Linked DNA regions of Oryctolagus cuniculus. The protein of the gene in region 2 purifies or fractionates together with the protein of the main gene of each other region. This does not show direct contact. Links are inferred from orthologs where the notes say so. Each region holds a gene or a part of one and is shown on either strand. Other genes may lie near its edges.

What was found. Proteins that work in one complex are often made in the same cells at the same time.
Region 1: the proteins of STAT3 (region 2) and PTPN11 purify together in Homo sapiens (affinity purification with western blotting; 3 studies listed by BioGRID). This does not show direct contact. The link is inferred for Oryctolagus cuniculus from reciprocal best matches to the Homo sapiens genes STAT3 and PTPN11.
Region 3: the proteins of STAT3 (region 2) and PIAS3 purify together in Homo sapiens (affinity purification with western blotting; 5 studies listed by BioGRID). This does not show direct contact. The link is inferred for Oryctolagus cuniculus from reciprocal best matches to the Homo sapiens genes STAT3 and PIAS3.

What each region holds. Positions count from the first base shown.
Region 1 is NC_091452.1:9,755,499-9,762,777, forward strand, and holds part of PTPN11 (tyrosine-protein phosphatase non-receptor type 11), read left to right. Parts: intron 1-174; coding exon 175-369; intron 370-3,826; coding exon 3,827-4,019; intron 4,020-5,077; coding exon 5,078-5,194; intron 5,195-6,115; coding exon 6,116-6,229; intron 6,230-7,279. UniProt on the Homo sapiens protein: Acts downstream of various receptor and cytoplasmic protein tyrosine kinases to participate in the signal transduction from the cell surface to the nucleus. Positively regulates MAPK signal transduction pathway. Dephosphorylates GAB1, ARHGAP35 and EGFR.
Region 2 is NC_091448.1:20,492,884-20,500,162, forward strand, and holds part of STAT3 (signal transducer and activator of transcription 3), read left to right. Parts: intron 1-729; coding exon 730-813; intron 814-1,399; coding exon 1,400-1,498; intron 1,499-1,586; coding exon 1,587-1,722; intron 1,723-2,721; coding exon 2,722-2,774; intron 2,775-3,009; coding exon 3,010-3,104; intron 3,105-3,215; coding exon 3,216-3,355; intron 3,356-3,820; coding exon 3,821-4,033; intron 4,034-6,765; coding exon 6,766-6,808; intron 6,809-7,092; coding exon 7,093-7,205; intron 7,206-7,279. UniProt on the Homo sapiens protein: Signal transducer and transcription activator that mediates cellular responses to interleukins, KITLG/SCF, LEP and other growth factors. Once activated, recruits coactivators, such as NCOA1 or MED1, to the promoter region of the target gene.
Region 3 is NC_091438.1:49,036,634-49,043,575, forward strand, and holds the end of PIAS3 (E3 SUMO-protein ligase PIAS3), read left to right. Parts: intron 1-153; coding exon 154-288; intron 289-487; coding exon 488-593; intron 594-1,131; coding exon 1,132-1,205; intron 1,206-1,321; coding exon 1,322-1,482; intron 1,483-2,474; coding exon 2,475-2,608; intron 2,609-2,688; coding exon 2,689-2,857; intron 2,858-3,042; coding exon 3,043-3,176; intron 3,177-3,314; coding exon 3,315-3,352; intron 3,353-3,823; coding exon 3,824-4,090; 3' UTR 4,091-4,488; coding exon of another isoform or gene 4,489-4,506; 3' UTR 4,507-4,937; downstream 4,938-6,942. Other genes in the region: NUDT17 (nucleoside diphosphate-linked moiety X motif 17), read right to left, coding at 5,274-5,430, 5,716-5,852, 6,033-6,131, 6,404-6,496, 6,601-6,626, 6,842-6,942. UniProt on the Homo sapiens protein: Functions as an E3-type small ubiquitin-like modifier (SUMO) ligase, stabilizing the interaction between UBE2I and the substrate, and as a SUMO-tethering factor.

The sequences.
Region 1 (7,279 bases), on a different chromosome or scaffold from region 2:
AGACAGTGGACTGTGTGGCCATTTTGCCCATTGCATTTGTTACAGCGAAGGAGGAAATCCATTCTTTCCTTGGGTTCATCTCAACATTTGGGTGAAGTCTGATATTGAACGTGAGATATGTTTTTACTAGTCTAACTCTTTGTTTCTCCCTTCCTTTCCAATGGACTATTTTAGAAGAAATGGAGCTGTCACCCACATCAAGATTCAGAACACTGGTGATTATTATGACCTCTATGGAGGGGAGAAGTTTGCCACTTTGGCTGAGCTGGTTCAGTATTACATGGAACACCATGGGCAGCTGAAGGAGAAGAATGGAGATGTGATTGAGCTCAAGTACCCTCTGAACTGTGCAGATCCTACCTCTGAACGGTCAGTGACGTTTTTGGGACACAGACTCTGTGTCACTCCTGTGCCATGCGTGTCATGCAAGTGCAGTGTGGTGAGTTGTGTGTGACTTACCGACTCCAAAGCTGGTGTCTGTTTCTCAGTGAAAATGTTACTAAAGTAAGAAGAGTAGTATCAAGTTATTCTCAGATTGGCCTTGCCTTGCAGAAGCTTGATAAAGCGTTCCTTGGACTCACTTTGCGGGGTCTCACGCTGTTCCTGTACATACGTGGCACCTGCAGTACTTCTAAGCTTTGTTGCACTTCAGTTGAAAACCTTTGAGGGTATTGAGAGGAAGACAAATGGTAATGGAGACACCAGGATTGCAACAGCTCTCTGGGCGGCTCCTGACCAGTAGTTACTCAGCAGTCCACCAGCAGATGTCAGTTGAAGCCTGGAAGTGGAAAGGCAGAGAGAACTTGGAGGGCCAGCTTTGTCATCCGTTCTTTTCATGTTATATTCACGAATGTGGGAGGGCCCTTATTTAACGGGAACTGCATTATGTTGGAGATCTTCCCCTGGTGTGGGAACCAAGTGATGCAAGCTGGGGCCTGGCCGACTTGCACGTCTCGTACTGGGTTTCTGCATCCCCGGCCGCCTCTGATTCAGCACAGGTGCAGGGTCTGCTACTGAGGTTTGTCTGTCTGTATCGGCAGGTGTGGGTTTTTTTTTTTTTTTCCAGCTTTACATCATTACATCAGTGCTGTTCATGTGCCAATAATTTGTTTCTGACTCCCCCTGCAGCTTCCATGCAGAGGCTGTCGGCCAGCTCTGCAGTTCGTTTCTACGCTGCACTCTTTCCAGTTGAGTGTGGATGAGAAAGAACTCAGAGACCTTTCCTTTAGTGATGGACGGTTAGCATAACCCGCCTCAGTCATGCTTGCTTTCCTACTGAGGTCCTGAGGGAAAAGGCCCACTGCCTACGTGGCTATGTGACGATGCTTCCCACAACAACTTAGAGCAGTGTTAGCTCAAAGTCTGTCCTTGAGTGACCTTTGGCGGCCTACGTCAGGACTCTGTGGCCTGCTGGTTAAGCCTCTAGATTTTTGGGTCCATTCGGACTTAAATGTATTAATTGATGACTCTGAGTATGGGATGTGAGAATTCACATTTTTTTTAAAGTTTTATTTATTTATTTGAAAATCAGAGTTACACAGAGAGAGAAGGAGAAGCAGAGAGAGAGAGAGAGAGAGAGAGTCCTCCATCTGATGGTTCACTCCCCAATTGGACACAATGGCCAGAGCTGTGCCCATCCGAAGCCAGGAGCCAGAAGCTTCTTCCTTGTCTCCTACATGGGTGCCGGGACCCAAGGACTTGGGCCATTTTCTGCTGCTTTCCCAGGCCATAGCAGAGAGCTGGATTGGAAGTAGAGCAGCCAGGTCTCTAACCGGTGCCCTTATGGGATGCCGGCGCTTCAGGCCAGCCCCGAGACTCCACTTCTTGAGTGATCACCGACTGCCTCCCAGGGTGTGCATTAGCAGGAAGGTGGAATTGAAGTGGAGCTAGGACTCAGACCCGGATACTTTGATATGGGTGCAGGCATCCCAAGTGGTGTTCCTATTGCTGTGCCAAGTGGTGTTCCTACTGCTGTGCCAAGTGGTGTTCCTACTGCTCTGCCAAATGCCTGCCCCTGCAGTGTTTTATTAGAACTTCCTTATGTGGCTATGATAGAAAAATTGGTCTTTTAAGAGTGGGCAATCAAAAAGGGCAAATTGCGTTTTTAAAAAATGAGAGATTTGGGGCCGGTACTGTGGCCCAGCAGGTTAACGCCCTGGCCTGAAGCGCCAGCATCCCATAAGGGCGCCGATTCTGGTCCCGGCTGCTCCTCTTCTTTTTTTAATTTTATTTATTTATTTATTTTTTTATTTTTTGACAGGCAGAGTGGACAGTGAGAGAGAGACAGAGAGAAAGGTCTTCCTTTGCCGTTGGTTCACCCTCCAATGGCCGCCGCGGCCGGCGCACCGCGCTGATCCGATGGCAGGAGCCAGGTGCTTCTCCTGGTCTCCCATGGGGTGCAGGGCCCAAGCACCTGGGCCATCCTCCACTGCACTCCCTGGCCACAGCAGAGAGCTGGCCTGGAAGAGGGGCAACCGGGACAGAATCCGGCGCCCCAACCGGGACTAGAACCCGGTGTGCCGGCGCCGCAAGGCGGAGGATTAGCCTAGTGAGCCGCGGCGCCGGCCTCCGGCTGCTCCTCTTCTGATCCAGCTCTCTGCTATGTCCTGGGGAAGCAGTAGAAGATGGTCCAGGTCCTTGGGCCCCTGTACCCAAGTGGGAAACTTGATAGAGGCTTCTGGCTCCTGGCTTCATATGGGCGCAGCTCTGGCTATTGTGGCCATTTGGGAAGTGAACCATCAGATGGAAGACCTCTCTCTCTCTCTCTCTCTCTCTCTCTCTGCCTCTCCTCTCTCTGTGTAACTCTGACTTTCAAATAAATAAATAAATCTTTTTTTTTTTTTTAAATGAGAGATTTAATTGAAAAACTGGAAGACATTTGTCTCCAAATGACTGTGGGCTCTTTTAAAAAGTCGAGTGGTCATTGTAACATTTTTGTCATTTTCCCGTCTTCCTGGACTGCAAATTCTGTCTTATGTGAGATTGATGAGTCCCTTGCCGGGACTAATTCGTAATTGTCTTAGGAGAGCTGACTATATATGGTAGTTTTTTGTTTATTTATTTATTGATTGATTGCTATTTCCTTGAAATTTATATAAACTTTCTATATAATCTGCCATACAGTGCCATGTGCCATGCTTAAAAATCATTTCAGACTGGCCGGTGCCGTGGCTCAGTAGACTAATCCTCCGCCTTGCGGCGCCGGCACACCGGGTTCTAGTCCCGGTCAGGGCGCCGGATTCTGTCCCGGTAGCCCCTCTTCCAGGCCAGCTCTCTGCTGTGGCCCGGGAGGACAGTGGAGGATGGCCCAAGTGCTTGGGCCCTGCACCCCATGGGAGACCAGGAGGAAGCACCTGGCTCCTGCTTTTGGATCAGCGCGGTGCACTGGCTGCAGCGCGCCAGCCGCGGCGGCCATTGGAGGGTGAACCAACGGCAAAGGAAGACCTTTCTCTCTGTCTCTCTGTCTCTCTGTCTCTCACTGTCCACTCTGCCTGTCAAAAAAAAAAAAAAAATCATTTCAGTGATGAGAAGGATGCTTTGTATCCAGAACATACGTGTGGACGATCATATGAAATCATAGATAGGATCTGCAAAATATCATACGAAATTGCAAGAGCAAGCCAGTTAATCCAGTGGCATACTGTCTTGAGTAGGGAAAATGTGGTGAGGCTATGAATTTTGCTTGTGAATGAATGAGGCAGTGGTCCTCACCTGGGGTTTTACTCTGCAGGAAACGTTAGCAATGACTGGAGTGTTTACGGTAGTTTTAGAAAAGAATGTTGTGAACTGGCAGTGGAACTCAATTTGTTTTCATTCTTAAAACCAGGTGGTTTCACGGGCACCTCTCTGGGAAAGAAGCAGAGAAATTATTGACTGAGAAAGGAAAACATGGCAGCTTCCTGGTCCGCGAGAGCCAGAGCCACCCTGGAGATTTTGTTCTCTCCGTCCGCACTGGCGACGACAAGGTGGAGAGCAATGACGGCAAGTCCAAGGTGACCCACGTCATGATTCGCTGTCAGGTAATGCTCCGCCCGGCCTGCAGGGCTGCAAACTGTCACCCTGGGGGGTTTTCACCTGCGAGGAGACAGATGCTGTGCGGCCCAGGTCAGCGTTTCTGCGCTTAGTCAAGGGCTTCTGCACTTGTGGTATGTTGATTATAACTGTTTCAGGATTTCAAAACTCTTTTGAGTTATTTACTTCCAGGTTATCTCTGGCAGATTAAATCATGCCTAACAACCCCCTCTCCCCCCATGATGGGAATGCTTGAGATCTACTCTTCTAGCAAAGTCCAGTCTGACAAGACGTTTTTACTGACTGTGGCCCCTGCGCTTCCGCATCCTACTGAAAGCTGTGCACTCTGGCCAGCCCCGCCCCTTGCCCCAGCCCCTGGTGACCACTGTTCTGCTCTGTGTCACCATGGGTGTGTTTTTAGCTTCCAGTTGTGAGTGAGCTCATGAAGTGTTTGCCTTTCTTTCCTGGCCTTTTACACTTATGTAATGTCTGCAAGTATAATGTTGTCACACATGTCAAGATTTGCTCCCCCTCCCCCCTTTTATGGCCGAATAATTTTCCAGTGTTTGTGCATGCACACATATACATACACACACCACATTTTAAAATAAAGATTTATTTATTATTTGAGAGGTAGAGTTACAGAGAGAGAGAGAGAGAAAGGTCTTCCATCCACTGGTTTACTCCCCAAATGGCTGCAGTGGCTGCAGCTGGGTCGATCTGAAGCCAGGAGCTTCTTCCGGATCTCCTGTGTGAGTGAAGGGGTCCAAGCACTTGGGCCATCTTTCACTGCTTTCACAGGCTATAGCAGAGAGCTGGATCGGAAGAAGAGCAGCTAGTACTTGAACCAGCACCCCTATGGGATGCCAACACCACAGGCAGAAGCTTAGCTTTCTGTCCCATAGCACTCCCCCCTCCCCCATTTTTATTCATCTGATCCGTTGCTGGACGTGTAGGTTGTTTCTGTATCCCATCTATTGTAGATATTGCTGCCGCGAACACAGGAATGCAGGAAGCACAATAGTTAAACACAAAGGTAATACATGCCGTCTTTTTGTCTTGAAAGGAACTGAAATACGATGTTGGTGGAGGAGAGCGGTTTGATTCTCTGACAGATCTGGTGGAACATTACAAGAAAAATCCTATGGTAGAAACCTTGGGCACAGTGCTGCAACTCAAGCAGGTAAGTGGCTCAGAAAGCTACAGCTCCTTCTCCTTTTAAAGTTTTGAAACCCCAATTTAGAGTTTTCCGAACTTACAGGGGTAGACAGAGTAGCGCTGTCAACGTCCATGTGCTCGTTCTTCAGCCTCAATTGTAACTGATTCTTTAGTCCTTCCTTCTGTATGCTGTGTTCACTGGCCACCTCCGTGGTGTCTGGAAACCAAGTCCAGATGTTGTGGAATTCCACTGGTGTCTGTGAAGAGCCTGATGGCTTTAGAGGAAGCTTTCAGCATGGATCCACTCTGGTTGTTGTTAGGTGACCACATGGACATTAAAGTTGTTGCTATTTCGGAGTTCACCCTTATGACAGTGGCAGATGATAGAATTTTTCAAAATAATGTTGTGGTCTATTTATAAAGAAAAATAGGATTGAATTTTTATCAGCAGAGTAATGTGTGTGTGGAATTGAAGAAAGTTTCGTTTCCTAGCAGCACAGAAGAGAAGGTGAAACTGCATTTGAAAACTTAAATAAATTATTATTATTTATTTTCATTTTATTTGAAAGAGAGTCAGAGATAGACAGAGAGAAGGCTTCTATCTGCTGATTCCCTTCCCAAATGGCCACAACAGTCAGGACTGGGCCAGGCCAGAGCCTGGAACTCAGTTTGGGTTTCCCATGTTGGTGGCAGGGACCCGAGTACTTGGGCCCTCACCTCTGCCTCCCAGGCTGTGCATAAGTGGGGAGCTAGGATCAGAGGTAGAACCAGGACTAGAACTCTGATGTGGGAGACAGGTGTCCTAAGTGGCCGAACGCCTGCCCCTGAATTTGAGAATTTTATTGTGGCATACCGCATCCCGAGAGGCCTGTCCTTGCCTGCAGGCTTTCTTTATATATTAACATTATATTTTCTTCATTTTACACCTACTGCTGAACTTGATCAGCCCCTCAATACAACCCGTATAAACGCAGCTGAAATAGAGAGCCGTGTTCGAGAACTGAGCAAACTGGCCGAGACCACAGATAAAGTCAAGCAAGGCTTTTGGGAAGAATTTGAGGTAAGTTCTTAAAAAGCTTTTCACATGAAGTTATTAAATCCTATTTTTGGTAGAAGAGAAGTTGGTCTTGTTTTTGGACTTGGATCTGAAACACTTGAATCTGACATCCTTTCTTAATTCAGCCATTGATTGACGTGGAACAAGTTGCTGAGGGGCCTCTTTGAAATAGAAGGGCGCTGTGTTCCCAGAGACGAGTTGGCAGTTAGTACGGAACGGGCGCGCCAACAGCTCCATTTGGCTTTTTTGGTTTGGACCACTGGCAGAAACTCAGAAAAACAAAAGTATCTAATTCCTTTGGAGGATTTCCAGCATTCACTGGGGTCTTTAGAAAAAATCTATAGCCTTATTGCAGTGAGTAAGTCAAAGACAAATGGCTCATGTTGGCTCTAATTTAGGACTGACTTGGTATCGTTGGGAAGCTAAGGGAACCCATTTCTCTCCTGAAAGCAGCTTGGGTGGAGAATGTCCCTGATGGGGCTCTGCGCAGTTCTCCTGCTCTTCCGTGTAACTTACCTTCGACACTGTGATCTCTTTCTGTTCGCATCTATTTGAGTGAAACTTGTTCAAAAACAGAAATTCTGGCATATTGCCCTGTGTGGTTGTCCTCTGCATTTAGCACTCAGCAAGGTCTCTTGCACGTAGCAGAAACTCCATGAATGTTTGTTGAATGAGTATTTATATTTAGCTAATGCTTACATAATGTAAAAAGTTTTTTTTTATTTATTTGAAAGAGAGAAAGATAATCTTCCTTCTGGATTACTCCCCAAATGCCCACAAGAGCTGGGTCTGGGCCAGGCCGAAGTCAGGAGCCAGGGACTCCATCTGGGTTTCCCACGTGGATGGCAGCCTTGCTCTGCTGCCTCCCAGGGTGCCTCCCAGGGTGCACGTTAGCAGGAAGCTGGCTTGGAAGTGGGGGTTGGGTGCCATCCAAGATCCCGGGCACTTCAATGTGAGATGCAGGCGTCACACGCAGCAGGCTACCCCTCCGTGCCATGATGCTCGCCATCATTTCGTTATGACTGTTCTTTTTGATGGAACTGATCATTCCAT
Region 2 (7,279 bases):
CTGAGAATTCATTAGTACTCTTGTTGCAAAAATGTTGCTGCAGCGCTGGCAGGAGTAGACATTCTCCCAGTCTCTTTGGGAATAGCCGTACGGCAGCAGTGCAGATCCTGAGACGGCACAGGGGGTACCACAGAGCCTCAGCTGCCTGCCTGTGCGCTCTGAACGTGACCCAGACGAACGGCCATCAGCACTACACTCACACACGCTGCTCAGCCTGAACAGGAGTGAGCGGCAGATGCACACAGCCACAGGGACCCCTCCGTGGGTGACCTGAGGCACAGAAGAACACACGGGGTAGACTCCACGTGTACAGGGCTCCCAGACACCTCAAAGGAAGCTTACAGATGCTGTCTAGGGAAACAGATAGACACACTAAGAACAGCTAGGACGACAGCCGCTACTTCCGAGGGAGGAGGGACGGGCCTGCTGAGAATCTCAGGGGCTGTGGTCTCTTCCTGAAGGGGGGTGGGGGGGTGGGCGCACAGGAGCTCGCGGTTTTGTTATTCTTTGTGCCATACACGTTTTATAAATAACCGTCGGATCTGTGTGATACCAGAACCAAAACAGAGTGGAAAGTCGGGTCCCGCTCTTAGCATTGAGGAGGGCACACACGCTGAGCCGGGTCCCAGGCCGTCTGTGCGTGGCCACCTGGCGCCTTGCCCAGCTCCGAGTCGCGAGGCCGGGACTCTGCCCTCAGCGGGACACAGGGTGCACTTGTTGTTCCTGCAGGCCTCCCTGATTGTGACGGAGGAGCTGCACCTGATCACCTTTGAGACTGAGGTGTACCACCAAGGCCTCAAGATTGACCTGGAGGTGAGCCGCACGCTGTGCAGGGCTGGCTCGGGACAGAGCCCCGCTGTGGGGTCGTGACCAGCTGAGCGGCAGTGGTCGCCGTTTGCGAAGCGCCCTGCTGGGGGTTCGGTTCTCTGAAACATTCCTGGTGGCCCGCTTGAGCATGGCGTCCTGAGAGCTCAGAATACGCACACACACGTGATACGGGAGGTCCCAGTGTGCAGAGGAACATGGCAGAGGCCTGGGAAAGCAGGAATCCCTGTGTGCGGTTTCTCCCACCTCGCTGTTTCGTGGGAAGAGGCGGCTTTACTTTTTGGAGAATGCCTTCCGGTGTTAATGGGGACTTGGCGGCCTGTGAGCCGGGGGTGACTTCCGAGCTTCTGGGTGTGTGCAGACGGCAGCCTGCGTCCCGAGGCCTTGCCCAGCATTCTGTCCCCTCCCCTCGGAGTGTTGTGCTGACTTGGCGCCGCTCCGCGCCAGAGCTGGCAGCGGGTGTGCCTCCTGGCGCATCCTTGTATGCCAAACCCTGCCTGTGAGGAGGGGGTGCAGCCTCTGGAAGCTGTGGCAGCCGCAGTGACCCCCCAACTCCTTGCCCCACTTTGTGCAGACCCACTCCCTGCCCGTGGTGGTGATCTCCAACATCTGCCAGATGCCGAACGCCTGGGCGTCCATCCTGTGGTACAACATGCTGACCAACAACCCCAAGGTCGGTGCCCGGGGCTCGCCGGTAAGGACCCAGCACCGGTCACTGGCACCACGCCCTCGTCTGAACGGCGACCGCGGTGTCTTCACAGAACGTGAACTTCTTCACCAAGCCTCCGATCGGGACCTGGGATCAAGTGGCCGAGGTGCTGAGCTGGCAGTTCTCCTCCACCACGAAGCGGGGGCTGAGCATCGAGCAGCTGACCACGCTGGCCGAGAAACTCCTAGGTTCGCTGTCACCTCTTCTTCCCCTGCCCTCCTCAGACGAGGAATCTGGCCCGGGGGGCTCTCCTGCAGTCGGTGTGCCCTGAGCAAGGCACTGTGCTCGGGCAGGAAGCTTTTGCTCCGTGAGGTTGGGCGTCGGGGTGCAGGGACCTGCCGCTCGCTTCTATGAGGTGGGAGGGAGATTTTTCCGTTTTTCTCCTCTGGTTGCTGTCTTTCCTGCCCTTTGAGGATAATATCTTGTCCAACCTTATAAAATTTTTTTAAATAAACTTGTAAAACAATTATTTCATTTGAAAGGCACAGAGAGATTGAGATCTTCTGTCCACCGGGTCACTCCCCAAATGCCTGCAATAACCATGGCTGGGCTAGACCAAGGCCAGGCACTCAGAACTCAATCCATGTTTCCCACGAAGGTGGCAGGGACCCAAGTACTTGAACTATTTCCTGCTCCCTCTCAGGGTGTGTGCTAGCAGGAAGCTGGATCAGAAGCAGAGTAACTGGTACTTGAACTTGGCACTCTGATAATGGGGTGCAAGTGGTGAGTCAACCACTACACTGAGTGCCTGCCCCATCCTTTTAGGATATTTAATGTGTTTCTCAGAAGGTGGTGCTGAAGACCTGATGTTTTCTGTCCATTTCTTCGATAAACTGTAGCCTAGTTTGAAGTTTTTCTCCCCTGGAGAAAGTTTCTAGAATGCTCTGTGTGTCACCTGGACTATGGATAACTTTGGTGCTGCCATCAACTCTGTCAGCTTGATGGTGTGTGCTGCTGCTCCCCATCATCCGCTACCTCTGCCCAGCTGCACAGCAGCCCTGGAGGGCCAAGGGATGGGAGAGGGTGTGTGCATGTGCGTGTGTGCGTGGACACGAATGGCAGTGGCAGCCTGCAGACACGTGACAGCCAGTAGCTCCATGGCCTGTTACGGGCCAAGTGTGTGTGCTAAGAAGTAAGGTGTTGACTCAGAGCTGAACATTTGCTACTTTTCTTCTTTGTCCCTTCAGGACCTGGTGTGAACTATTCAGGGTGTCAGATCACATGGGCTAAATTTTGCAAAGTAAGCAACCGTTTTACTCCTTGCTGTTGTCTCTTGGGAGTGAGCATGGGAGCGCGTCCCTAAAAGATGGGCATAGTGCTTGCTGGGCCTTCAGGCCAGTGACTTCTGGTCCAGTGGCTTCTAGGACCTCCTTGAGGGCAGGGGACCTAAGGAGGTATTTTTGGGCAGTGCCCTCTGCCCCAGGGAGAAAAGGCTGGGGTGGCGATGGACTTGATTTCCCCATTATTTTCTTCAGGAAAACATGGCTGGCAAGGGCTTTTCCTTCTGGGTCTGGCTGGACAACATCATTGACCTTGTGAAAAAGTATATCCTGGCCCTTTGGAATGAAGGGTAGGTTGAGCAGAGAGCGCCCGGGGTAGCCAAGTCACCTGCCTCTCAGCCCCAAGGCCCGGGACCAATGGCCTGGAGCCCCAGCAATGCTGTCCTCCTCTCCGGCTCCAGGTACATAATGGGCTTTATCAGCAAGGAGCGGGAGCGGGCCATCCTGAGCACCAAGCCCCCAGGCACCTTCCTACTGAGATTCAGCGAAAGCAGCAAAGAGGGAGGTGTCACCTTCACGTGGGTGGAGAAGGACATCAGTGGTAAGTGAGCTCTGCTGCTCCCTCGCGGCGGGGCTGGTTCTGAGCACTGCTGCCCTCTGGCGGGCAGAGATGGCCTCACACTCCCCTGCCCCACGCAGACAGGTGCGGCCACCTTTGAACTCCTGCGTCTGAAAGATTGACTTGCCAGTCTGTTTCGCTTGTTCCAGTGAGCAGTGTGTTCCAAGAAATTTGCAGTTGAAATTTTTTATTCTTCATCCTCTTTCTTGCCTACCCTCACTAACACATCTTACTCCGGTCTGTTGCCTATGGCCAAAATGATAGTCTCTGTCATAGTCATCCTGGCCCTTTCCACAGTGCCAGGCCACAGGGAGGGGTATTCAGGGGCGCGAGCGCTGGCCTGCCATAGGTCTGTCCCCACCAAGGAGACACGCCTGGGGGGAGTATGCTGTGGGAGTACGCCTAGCCGCAGGTGCCAGCACCTCTCCTTCCCACCTCGTGCGACAGGGAAGACCCAGATCCAGTCGGTGGAGCCGTACACCAAGCAGCAGCTGAACAACATGTCGTTTGCTGAGATCATCATGGGCTATAAGATCATGGACGCCACCAACATCCTGGTGTCTCCACTCGTCTATCTCTACCCCGACATTCCTAAGGAGGAGGCGTTCGGAAAGTACTGTCGGCCGGAGAGCCAGGAGCACCCTGAAGCTGACCCAGGTAGTTGTTGATTTTCCACGTTCCCGTCCTCCTTCTTGGGAGGAGCTGCAGGTTGCGGGGTCCTTGGCGGAATAACCTGGGAGACCCTCGTTCTCCTCCTGGGGAGGAGCTCGCCAGGCGCTGCTGGCCGTGGCCGATGTGATTTGAGAGAAGAGTGGACTCCGGGTGGCCAGCCCCTGCCCCACAGGGAGCACCCCAGTCTGAATGGGGAAATAGGTCACCCCTGCCCACGAAACGTGAGAGGACTGGATGCCCAGCTAGCACGGTGCTTCCTGTGTTGGGGGTGCCAGCAGGGCCGGGACGGAGACCTGAGCCCCGCAAAGCACCGGAGCAGTGGCAGGAGGACTGCAAAGCTTCCTGGAGGACACGGGCCTGGCGGTGCCAGAGCAGGGAGCACCGCGGAGGAGGGCTCGCAGGGGTGAAGGCAGCCGGTGCGAGGGGTGTGGGATTCGCATGTAGGATGTGCGGCTATTAAAATCAGTTTTTAAAGATTTATTTATTTGAAAGACAGTGACAGAGGGAGAGGAAGAGATACGTTACACCTGTGGCCCCTGGGTCCTTGGTGTGAACCGTGGGTAGGGGGAGCCCTCCTGTCTGCGTCCATCACACGCTTGCCACTCCAACTCTGGCTGGCTGTCCCCGCACCTGTCCTGAGGAGCAGCCTCTGGCTTGCATTCTTCTTTCCCTTTTCTAAAATTGAATTTCCTTCCTTCCTTCTTTGAGAGACAGAGTGCCCCCATCTGTTGATTCACTCCCCAGATACCTGCAGGGGCCTTAGCAAAGGCTCACGCGTTACCTGAGCCATCACTGCCGCCTCCCGGGTCTGCGTTAGCCCGGACTCCGAGCCCGTTCCACCGTGTGGGACGCAGGCGTGTCAGCCGGCACCGGCTTAACCATTAGGCTAAGCGAACGCCTGTCCCGAGTCTTGGTTCTTATTTGGCTTTTCTTACTCATGGAGCCAGCGGTGGGCTCTTTAACGCGCTCCTTTGGAGCTGGTTTTCCCTGCATGAGTAGTTTCTTTAAAAAAGCAAACTGGTTTTGTCCAGATCTCACACACGCTTTTTCATAGGCGCTCCCTCCGAGGGACTTCTGGGGGCGGGGAAGAGGGGTTTGAGCTCGCCGACGGTTGGCTTTCCCTTTGTTCTGGTGTGGAGTTTCGCTAGGCAGTGGAGGGTTTAACTCTGACTTCCTGTCTCTGCTTATCTCTCTCCCCACCTTGCGCTTCAGTTGGGAGTCGGGTCTATCAGCCCCTCTCACGCTCCCTTTGTTCCCTCTCGCACTGCCCTTGGCCCAAGCGCCGGGCCTGTGCACTAAGGTCGGCTGCAGGATCCCAGCTGCGGGTCTGGGGCCGTGTCTCCCTTGCCAGGGTGCGCCGAGGGTCTTGCTGTGTGCATTGCCGTTGGGCGGAGGGGGGGGCCTGCACGCATGTTACGTGTGAGAGTCTCAGAGATGGGTCTTTCCCGGTCCTTTCTCCTCCCTTTCCACCGTGAGCCCACACGGTGTCCCCTTGGCTGGAGGGAGGGATTCTGAGCCACTTGGAGATACTCCAGCCTTGTGCGGAGCCCCCAGAGGCTGCCGCTCATCCTTGTGTCTGCTGTCCCTTCTCAGCTGTCTGGCTCGTAGGGAGTTAAACCCCTTTCCATCTAGGGCATCAGCTCCCCTCAGGCCTGCTCTGTAAGACCCCAGAACCTGCCTTACCCTCTGCCATCCTCTCTGAAGTATTCAGTTTCTTGAGCCAAAATGAACGCGAGTGGCCACCTTGCAGGCCTCTCAGACCAGCCTCTGCGCCTGGTCCCTGTTTCCCTGAGCCCCTCCGTGAGCCCCCCGCTATACGATTCCTTCTCTTGCCCACCCCATCGCGTCCTGTGCTTCCTAAATGCTTTATCCTCCGTACCTCCCCAGAGTTCACGCCGCGTAGGCAGTCAGCATCCATGATTCAGTTATTCAAGTCCTCACTTTTTAAACTATAGAACAAGTACCATCAATGGCAGGGCCCACAGGTAGTCAGCGCCTCTCTTTCCCCTCTTATTTTATGCTAGAGAGAGAGAGAGAAAGACAGATACAGATTCCATTGTCCTGGGTCTCTTAGCCGCTGAAGACGAGCCCAGGCCTCGCCTGCTAGTTTGCTGGCTGAGCCAGTTGCACCAGAAGACCTCTCCCCTGAGTAGGGAAGCTGCTGTTTGCTTGATAGATTTATGCAGCTGGGACGTCCGCAGTGCCCTCCTCCAGCGTGTGGGCGAGGCAGGCTGATGCTGATGGGGACAGGAGGAACGCCCTTGGCTTTGGAGCCACAGGCGTCTGCAGACTCTGTTCCTTTGAAGACCTGGTAACCCTAGTCTTGGATGCCGTGCAAAGACCACACATAGGCTTGGTCCCCACGTGCAGAGCAGTTATCTGAGAGATACCACCAGGCCAGAGTAGCATCCCCAGACCACGCGGAGGCGGTTAACTGTTCACACAACCTAGGGGAGGAGTGAACACCGGGTCAGCATTAGTGTAGGCCCAGGCAGGACAAGGGCATGCTGGAAAGTGCATGCAGCTCAGGAAGGCTTCGTGGAAGTATTGAACTTGAGAGCTGCAGGGACCGAGCGCATCACGTGGCCCAGAGCCTGGGAGGGCGGCCGGGTGGCAGGAGGTTTCCAGACAACCTCTGCCCGGCCTGGTGGGAGACGGCCCCTTCCCGCCCTGCACTCCGAGTGAGGTCACGCTCAGTAAGCCCAGCTTTCTTCTTCCAGGTGCTGCCCCATACCTGAAGACCAAGTTTATCTGTGTGACACCGTAAGTGGCTTACCCTCTTGGTTTTGCGTTTCTTTCTAATGTCCTCAGTTACCTCCCAGGAGTAGGATGCCAGGTGAGAGGTGTTCTGTGAAGGGTGGATGTTCCTGGGCTACGTGCAGGACTCAAAGTGACCTTGTGTGTTGAAAAAGCTTGAGCTTTTATTTTTCTGTTGGAGACCAGAGTTTGATGGCTTGTGTGTGTGTGTTTTGTTCTTTTTTTTTTTTCCTCCATTGTGTCTTGTCAACCCGGCCCTTTCCCCTCCTGCCGCTCCCCGTTTCCTACAGAACGACCTGCAGCAATACCATTGACCTGCCGATGTCCCCCCGCACTTTAGATTCATTGATGCAGTTTGGAAATAATGGTGACGGTGCTGAGCCCTCAGCAGGAGGGCAGTTTGGTGAGTATCGGGTGCTGCCCAGGCCGTGCCCCGTGGCAGAAGTCAGCCCCCACACCCGCCCACTCACGCGTCAC
Region 3 (6,942 bases), on a different chromosome or scaffold from region 2:
CCCAGTTTTGTGAATGGGCCCCCAGCCCTTTGGGCAGTGAGTGGGCTGGCCTTCCCTCCAGGGAGTGAGTAACCCGCCAAGATGCTTTTTATTGTTAGAGCAGAGCCCCTTCCCAGAGCCCCTTCTCCACTGACCGGTCCCTCCCTTCCTCAGGGCTACCTTCCCCCCACCAAAAATGGGGCTGAGCCCAAGAGGCCCAGCCGCCCAATCAACATCACACCCCTGGCTCGACTCTCAGCCACTGTTCCCAACACCATCGTGGTCAATTGGTCATCTGAGTTTGGACGGGTGAGCACAGCTGAAGCAGGTGTCTGGCAAAGCCTGCAGTGGGTAAAGGGGAACCATCTAGTGCCCTGGGTTGGGGAAATATCCTCCTCTTACGGGTCTCTCTGCCATTAACCCACTGTCTCTGGCCCTCCTGGGACAAATGGGGGTGATGGTGGTCTAAGAAGTCCAGGCTAATTGTGTCCCTCCCACCTCCAAGTAGAATTACTCCTTGTCTGTGTACCTGGTGAGGCAGTTGACTGCAGGGACCCTTCTACAAAAACTCAGAGCAAAGGGTATCCGGAACCCAGACCATTCCCGGGCACTGAGTGAGTAGCATCCTTCCCTTTCTCCCTCTGATCTACAGTCAAATCTTCCTGGTCCTCTAGCTTTCATAACCAAACCCATTCCCCATCTCTGACAACTTTGCTTTCATGAACCTCATCCCTTCTCCTTCCAGTCTTCGAGGTTGAGAAGTTGGCCAACTCCAGTGCATTCCCAGTCATACATCTGCTTTGCACCTCACAGAGCCCAACTCCAGCCCTGCTAGAATATGGATTCTCTGAACTGGAAAGTGTTGGGGATCAACTAATCTCACCTCACATGATGTTCAGTTCCTTCTAGATCCTTTCTAACACAGCCAAAGGTCACCTAGCTATGATTAAGCACCTTTAGGGATGTAGAAATCCTCCCAGCGTCCAGCCTTCGTAATACAGATTCCAGACCAACCCCATGTGACATCCCATGGGCCCCCAAAGACTCTACCCAGCTGCCTCTCAGCCAGAGCCATCTGCTTCTGGCCTCACCAACTCCTGGGTCTCTCCCAGCCTTGCTGACCCCATGATTCTGCCCTCACTGTTGTTTCAGTCAAGGAGAAATTGACCGCTGACCCTGACAGTGAGGTGGCTACCACGAGTCTCCGGGTATCACTCATGTGCCCGGTGGGTACCGGGGGATAAGGGACAAGGGAGGGAGTGGGGCTAATCCTCTGGACTCAGGAGGGGGGTCCCTGCAGATTCCAGAGTGGGGCCTCTGACTGGAGAACTGCTCTCCGCAGCTCGGCAAAATGCGCCTCACTGTTCCTTGTCGCGCCCTCACCTGCGCCCACCTGCAGAGCTTCGATGCTGCCCTTTATCTGCAGATGAATGAGAAGAAGCCAACGTGGACATGTCCTGTGTGTGACAAGAAGGCACCCTATGAATCTCTTATCATTGATGGGTAGGGCCACTCTGCTTCCTTTTACCTAGGCTATCTCCTCTACCTCGCCTTGTTTTACCTTTATGTGAGAGCCAGAGAGACAGACAGCAAGACAGCTCTCATTTGCTGGTTTGCTCCCCCAAAATGCCCCCAACAGCTGGGGCTGGTGGGCCAGGCTGAAGCTGGGAGTTGGGAACTCAACCCAGATCTCCCAGCTAGAGGGAGGGGACCTAACTTCTTGAGCCATCATTTGCTGCCTCCCGGGATCTGCAATGGCAGGAAGCTGGAACTGGGAGCCAGAGCCAGGAGCTGAACTCAGACACTGTGATAGGGGCTGCAGGCATCTTCACCACCAGGCCAAACACCTGCCCCAGACCCCCTTTAGTACATATGGCTTATTTCTCCTCACCAGGAGAACCCCACGTCTCACCGTGTCCCTCTACTACTCCACATATGTGGTGACATTAAGGACTTAGTATAGATAAGGCATCTTGATGCTAAGCACTTTGCATGCATTATTGCACTAGATCTTCCTCATAACCCTGTGAGGTAGGTACTTCATTACAGAGGGGGTAACTCAGGCTTGGAGATTCTTACTCAAGGCTGCACTGTTAGCAGCAGAGGCCAGTGTATCGCTCGTAACGACTCCCTGACCTCCCACTAAGGAGGCGGTGAGGTCCTCCTGAGGGCCTGGGGATGCTGATCTGGCTGGTCTCGGGCCCTGTCCTGAGCCTATGTATGGTTCTTGGTCCCAGTGCCTTTTTGGGGGTGGTTGGTGGAGTTCTGCCTCTCTGCTTCTGTCTTGTTCCTAGACCATGCATAGCTAGGGCTCAGCTTGTGTTCACTTTAAAACATACAGTTTGTAAAGCTCTTATTTGATTGCAACAACTCCAGGAGGTCCCGTAGTTTGGACAGGATCCCTCTATTGCCCAGGAAGGTGAGTCCTGCATCTCTCTGGCCACTGTGGCACTCAATTCCCAGCCCCATGAATTTCCACCTCTTCCCTCCCACAGTTTATTCATGGAGATTCTAAATTCCTGTTCGGACTGTGATGAGATCCAGTTCATGGAAGATGGCTCCTGGTGCCCAATGAAGCCCAAGAAGGAGGCGTCTGAGGTTTGCCCCCCGCCAGGGTATGGGCTGGATGGTGAGTGACCCCCTGTCCCCCAGATGAGCTAGACCTTGGCTGGCCTTTTCTCTGAGACACAGTCTTCTCACCACTTGCAGGCCCCCAGTACAGCCCAGTCCAAGAGGGAGCTCCAGCAGAGAATAAGAAGAAGGTGGAAGTGATTGACTTGACAATAGAGAGCTCCTCAGATGAGGAGGATCTGCCTCCCACCAAGAAGCACTGTCCTGTCACCTCGGCTGCCATCCCAGCCCTGCCGGGAAGCAAAGGGTATGAGAAAGTAGGCTGACTCCGCACTAGGGAGGGCACAGCAGAAGTCAGTAGTGCTCTCTGCTCACCGGGCAAACCTGGGGCCAAGGGAAAGGCAATGGGGACAGAGAGGACCCTTGGGGAGCTGGGCGGGGTGGGGCATCTGGGGTTCGCCGGCTGCCCCAGCTCCTTCTCTCCACTCGCAGGGTCCTGACGTCTGGCCATCAGCCGTCTTCGGTGCTGCGCAGCCCTGCTATGGGCACACTGGGCGGGGATTTCCTGTCCAGTCTCCCACTGCACGAGTACCCACCTGCCTTCCCCCTGGGGGCCGACATACAAGGTACGACCCTGCTACCCACTCCCCCGAGCCCAGCAGAGCCCTTGCTGCTCACCAGGGGCCGGAATCCCAAAGACTTGCCTGTCTTGGTGCTAAGAGGGTGGGACAGGAGGGTGATTTGTATTTTCCCTTTCCTCCCAGGTTTAGACTTATTTTCTTTCCTTCAGACGGAGAGTCAGGTACGTGGTCCCTTCTCCCGTGCAGCTCTGATTGGGGCCCACACAGAGACCCGGATCCGCTTTTCTCAGGGGAGGTGGGGTGCGGGCAGCACTGGTACTTCCTCAGATTGCCACTTAGATCTTCCTGGATCCCTTACTGTTCTGTCCCGAGGGATTCTGGTGAGCTTCTGGCCCTGCCCCCCCCCCCCCCCCCCCGCAACCTGTGTATGCTTAAGAGCACCAGACCTGCCCCAACTGGACAGTCCACATATTTCAGACACCCACAAAGGCCAAGAACCTAGCAACCCAGAAGGGCTGTGTCAAGGCCTGGAAAAGGGGTGGCGTGGCAGGGAGGCAGGGGGAAGAGTCAGAGAGAGGCTTCTTGCCTCCCAGGGAACACCTTAGGGTCCCCATAACAGTTCTGGACCCTGTGACCAGGAGGCGGGGCTGAGTAGGGGTAAAGTCTGACACTGTGCCCTTGATCCCTCCCAGCACTACGGCCCCTCTGTCATCACCTCTCTGGATGAGCAGGATGCCCTTGGCCACTTCTTCCAGTACCGAGGGACCCCCTCCCACTTCCTGGGCCCACTGGCCCCCTCGTTGGGGAGCTCACACCGCAGCTCCACTCCAGCGACTCCTCCTGGCCGGGTCAGCAGCATTGTGGCCCCCGGGGGGGCTTTGAGGGAGGGGCACGGAGGCCCGCTGCCCTCAGGGCCCTCCCTGACTGGCTGCCGGTCTGACATCATCTCCCTGGACTGAGTCCCTTGGACTGTGGAGCCTGTGCTGCCCCCCACCCCGCAGCAGGTATGCTGTGGCCGCCTGACCTTTCTGGGGACTGTGGTCAGAGGTCAGGCCTGACTTTTCCTGGAGACCTACTGGTGGCCTCATCTTTGCTTGACAAGGCCAGCACCCAAAGGGTTAATATTTAACCTCTTCAAGGACATGGAGGGGTCTATTTTTGGAAATAGTCTTCAGATGGCTGCACATTCCTTTGGGTACCTAGGCCAACAGGAGGGGGTGTGAGTCGGGGGGAGGGGCTGAACCCCTGGCCTCTACTCTGTCTAGAGCCTCTTGGCAGAGGGGCCCTCTCTTCCCATCCCCCAAACCCAAACTTTCATTGTTTCTTCTTGTCTATTCCGCTCCCTTTGGCCATGCAGATGAGATGGAGAAACTGAGACAGGCGATTTCAGAGATGGACAGAGAACTCTATTTTGGGTTGCAGATATTTTGTACATAAACAAGAAAAACCAAAATACTCCAAAGATGACTTTCCCAACCTCCTACTTCCCAGTATAACTGAGGAGATGAGGCCTTAGCCGCGATCCCCAGGGGTTTGGGAGCAGGGCCTAGCCTCTTGCCTGGGTCTCTATTTATATATTTAAGTTCACAGTGTTTCTTAAGCTGACTAGCCTGGGGCCTAAGCGTCTAGAGGCCCGTGGCCCTGTAGTCAGGCCTGGCTTATTCTGCACCTTTCCTGGGAAGTGGGGGGACCCACGTGCCCTCCTTTGTCGGGCCCCTCCAGGGCCCAGCATACGTGTTGCAATTTTACTTTGTATTCCCAAAGTTGTAGCAGGTTTCTCACCCATAATAAAGGTTGTGAATGTTCTGTGAGCGTCGTGGAGGTGGGCTCTGGAGGGGATTACCCACTTCCCTTTCCAGAGCGCTGGGGTAGGGGAGGAGGGTCCACGTTCTGTTCTTCCTTTGCGACCTGGGTCCACGCTTGCCACACTGAGGACTTCCCAGAGTAGTCGGTTTTCCCTCGCGCCCCCGCCCATAACACCACCAGACCACTGGAGCCCAGCGCCACAGAACCCTCTCATGCCCCCCCACCCCGAACACCACCAGAGCACTCCACAGTGCCACAGAACCCTCCCGTGCCCCCGCCCAGACCACCACCAGACCACTCCAGCCCAGCACCACAGAACCCTCCCATTCCTCACCTTTACCGGCCCAGCTGCTGTAGCCAGAGCCCGAGGGCAAACTTGGTGCCAGAGCTGACTCTCTCCGGGTTGTCCTCTGCGGTAGGGGGGGTGTTCCGCAGCAGCGTGGATGTGGGGAGCGCCACGGCTCGGGCCCTGCCCTCCTCTAGTTCCATTGCTCTGCATGGGGACAGCTCCTGTCTGGGCTTTGCCTTGTTGGGCTTTCATATGTTAGGTCATCTACTCTCAACTACTGTAGCAGGTGGGTGGCTAGCTGTGAACCTCATTTTACAAAAAGGAAGCATGTTCAAGGAGGGTTAAGGGACTGGCTCCCATGGGAGAGCTTTGAGTCAAACTCTGGACCTCCGTGCTAGGCAGCTGGAGTCCTTGATCTCATGTGGTTTCTTAATTCTCAGAAAATCAATGGGGTGGTGGGGTGGGTAGAGCTCAGGGAAAAGTTCTTACCCCACAGAGAGTGGTAGGTCCGCGGGGAGGATTCTGGGTGCTTCTGTCCCATCCTCCGTGGCAGCCACTGCAGCTGCGATATCTGGTCCCAGCCACATAAAAGCACTCACTTCACTTGGGTTTGGTTGGATCCTGGCCTAGGGTCAGACAGGACCCCTCAGTCCCGGCTTCTCCCTGGGAGGCCTGTCCTTGATACTAGCCTACTTGCAAGCGGAATGCTTAAAGACAGGGGAGGAACTACTGGATGCTCTTGGTGTCTCTGCCCCGCCCCCTGTGATCCCCTGAGCCCCATTTCCTTCCTCCCTAGCCAGCCTTACCTGCAGCTGCTGCTGTGACTCCTGGGAGATGACGAGTAGATAGAGAACAATGTGATGGTATTTGGGGAAACCCCAGCTCAGCCTAGGCGGGTAGGCAGACTGAGAAGAAAGGCAAAAGAGAGGGCTTCCTGTCTCTGATTCTGAGACTTAGTAAGTACAGCTCTGGGGTGGGCCCACAGCTGAGGAAGTGGATGGTAGACACGGTGCACCAGGGACACAGGTGAGGGTTTGGGCCTCTCCCACTTCCTCTGTGGCTAAGGCAGCGTCTGCGGACTTGCTGCTGGTGGCGGCAGTGGCCGTGGTGGTAGCAGAGTGTTTGCTGAGGTCTCTTGGTTAAGTGGGAAAGGATGGTCCCCAGGTCCCTGGCTCACCTCCCATAGTCCCAGAGGGACCCAAGAGAACTGGCCCTGTGCCAGCCGCAGTCCAGTCTCCTCCCAGAGCTCTCGGAGTCCTCCATCCAGCAGCTGGGAGTAGGAGAGAGGGCGGGTCAGGCGGCCAATGCCTTTTGCTCCCCCTGTCCTCAGCCCACACCCAGTGGAGGGGTGCCCGTTGGGTCGCTGACTGGTACCTCCTCATCCAGTTCCACATGTCCACCTGCAAGGAGAGTGGGGACCAAGAGGTGAAAGGTGATTGTCTTCACCAGAAGCCCCACCTCCAGGGGTCTCCAGATGCAGCTGCAGCAATGTGGACAGGCCACACTTCCGGGCCCGCGTCTCCATTCCAAGACTAGGAAGTGCAACGTGGGGTGGGGGGTGGGGGGAAGGCAGGTTTCTTCTCTGGCCTTGGGGCTTTGTCCCCAGAGTGCTCACCTGGGGGTACCCAGAGGTTGGGGGAAACGCGGAGGGTGCGTGTCCTTCTGGTCAGCAAGACAGTCTGGTCGCTGGACTGCAGAATGACGGCCACACCCAGA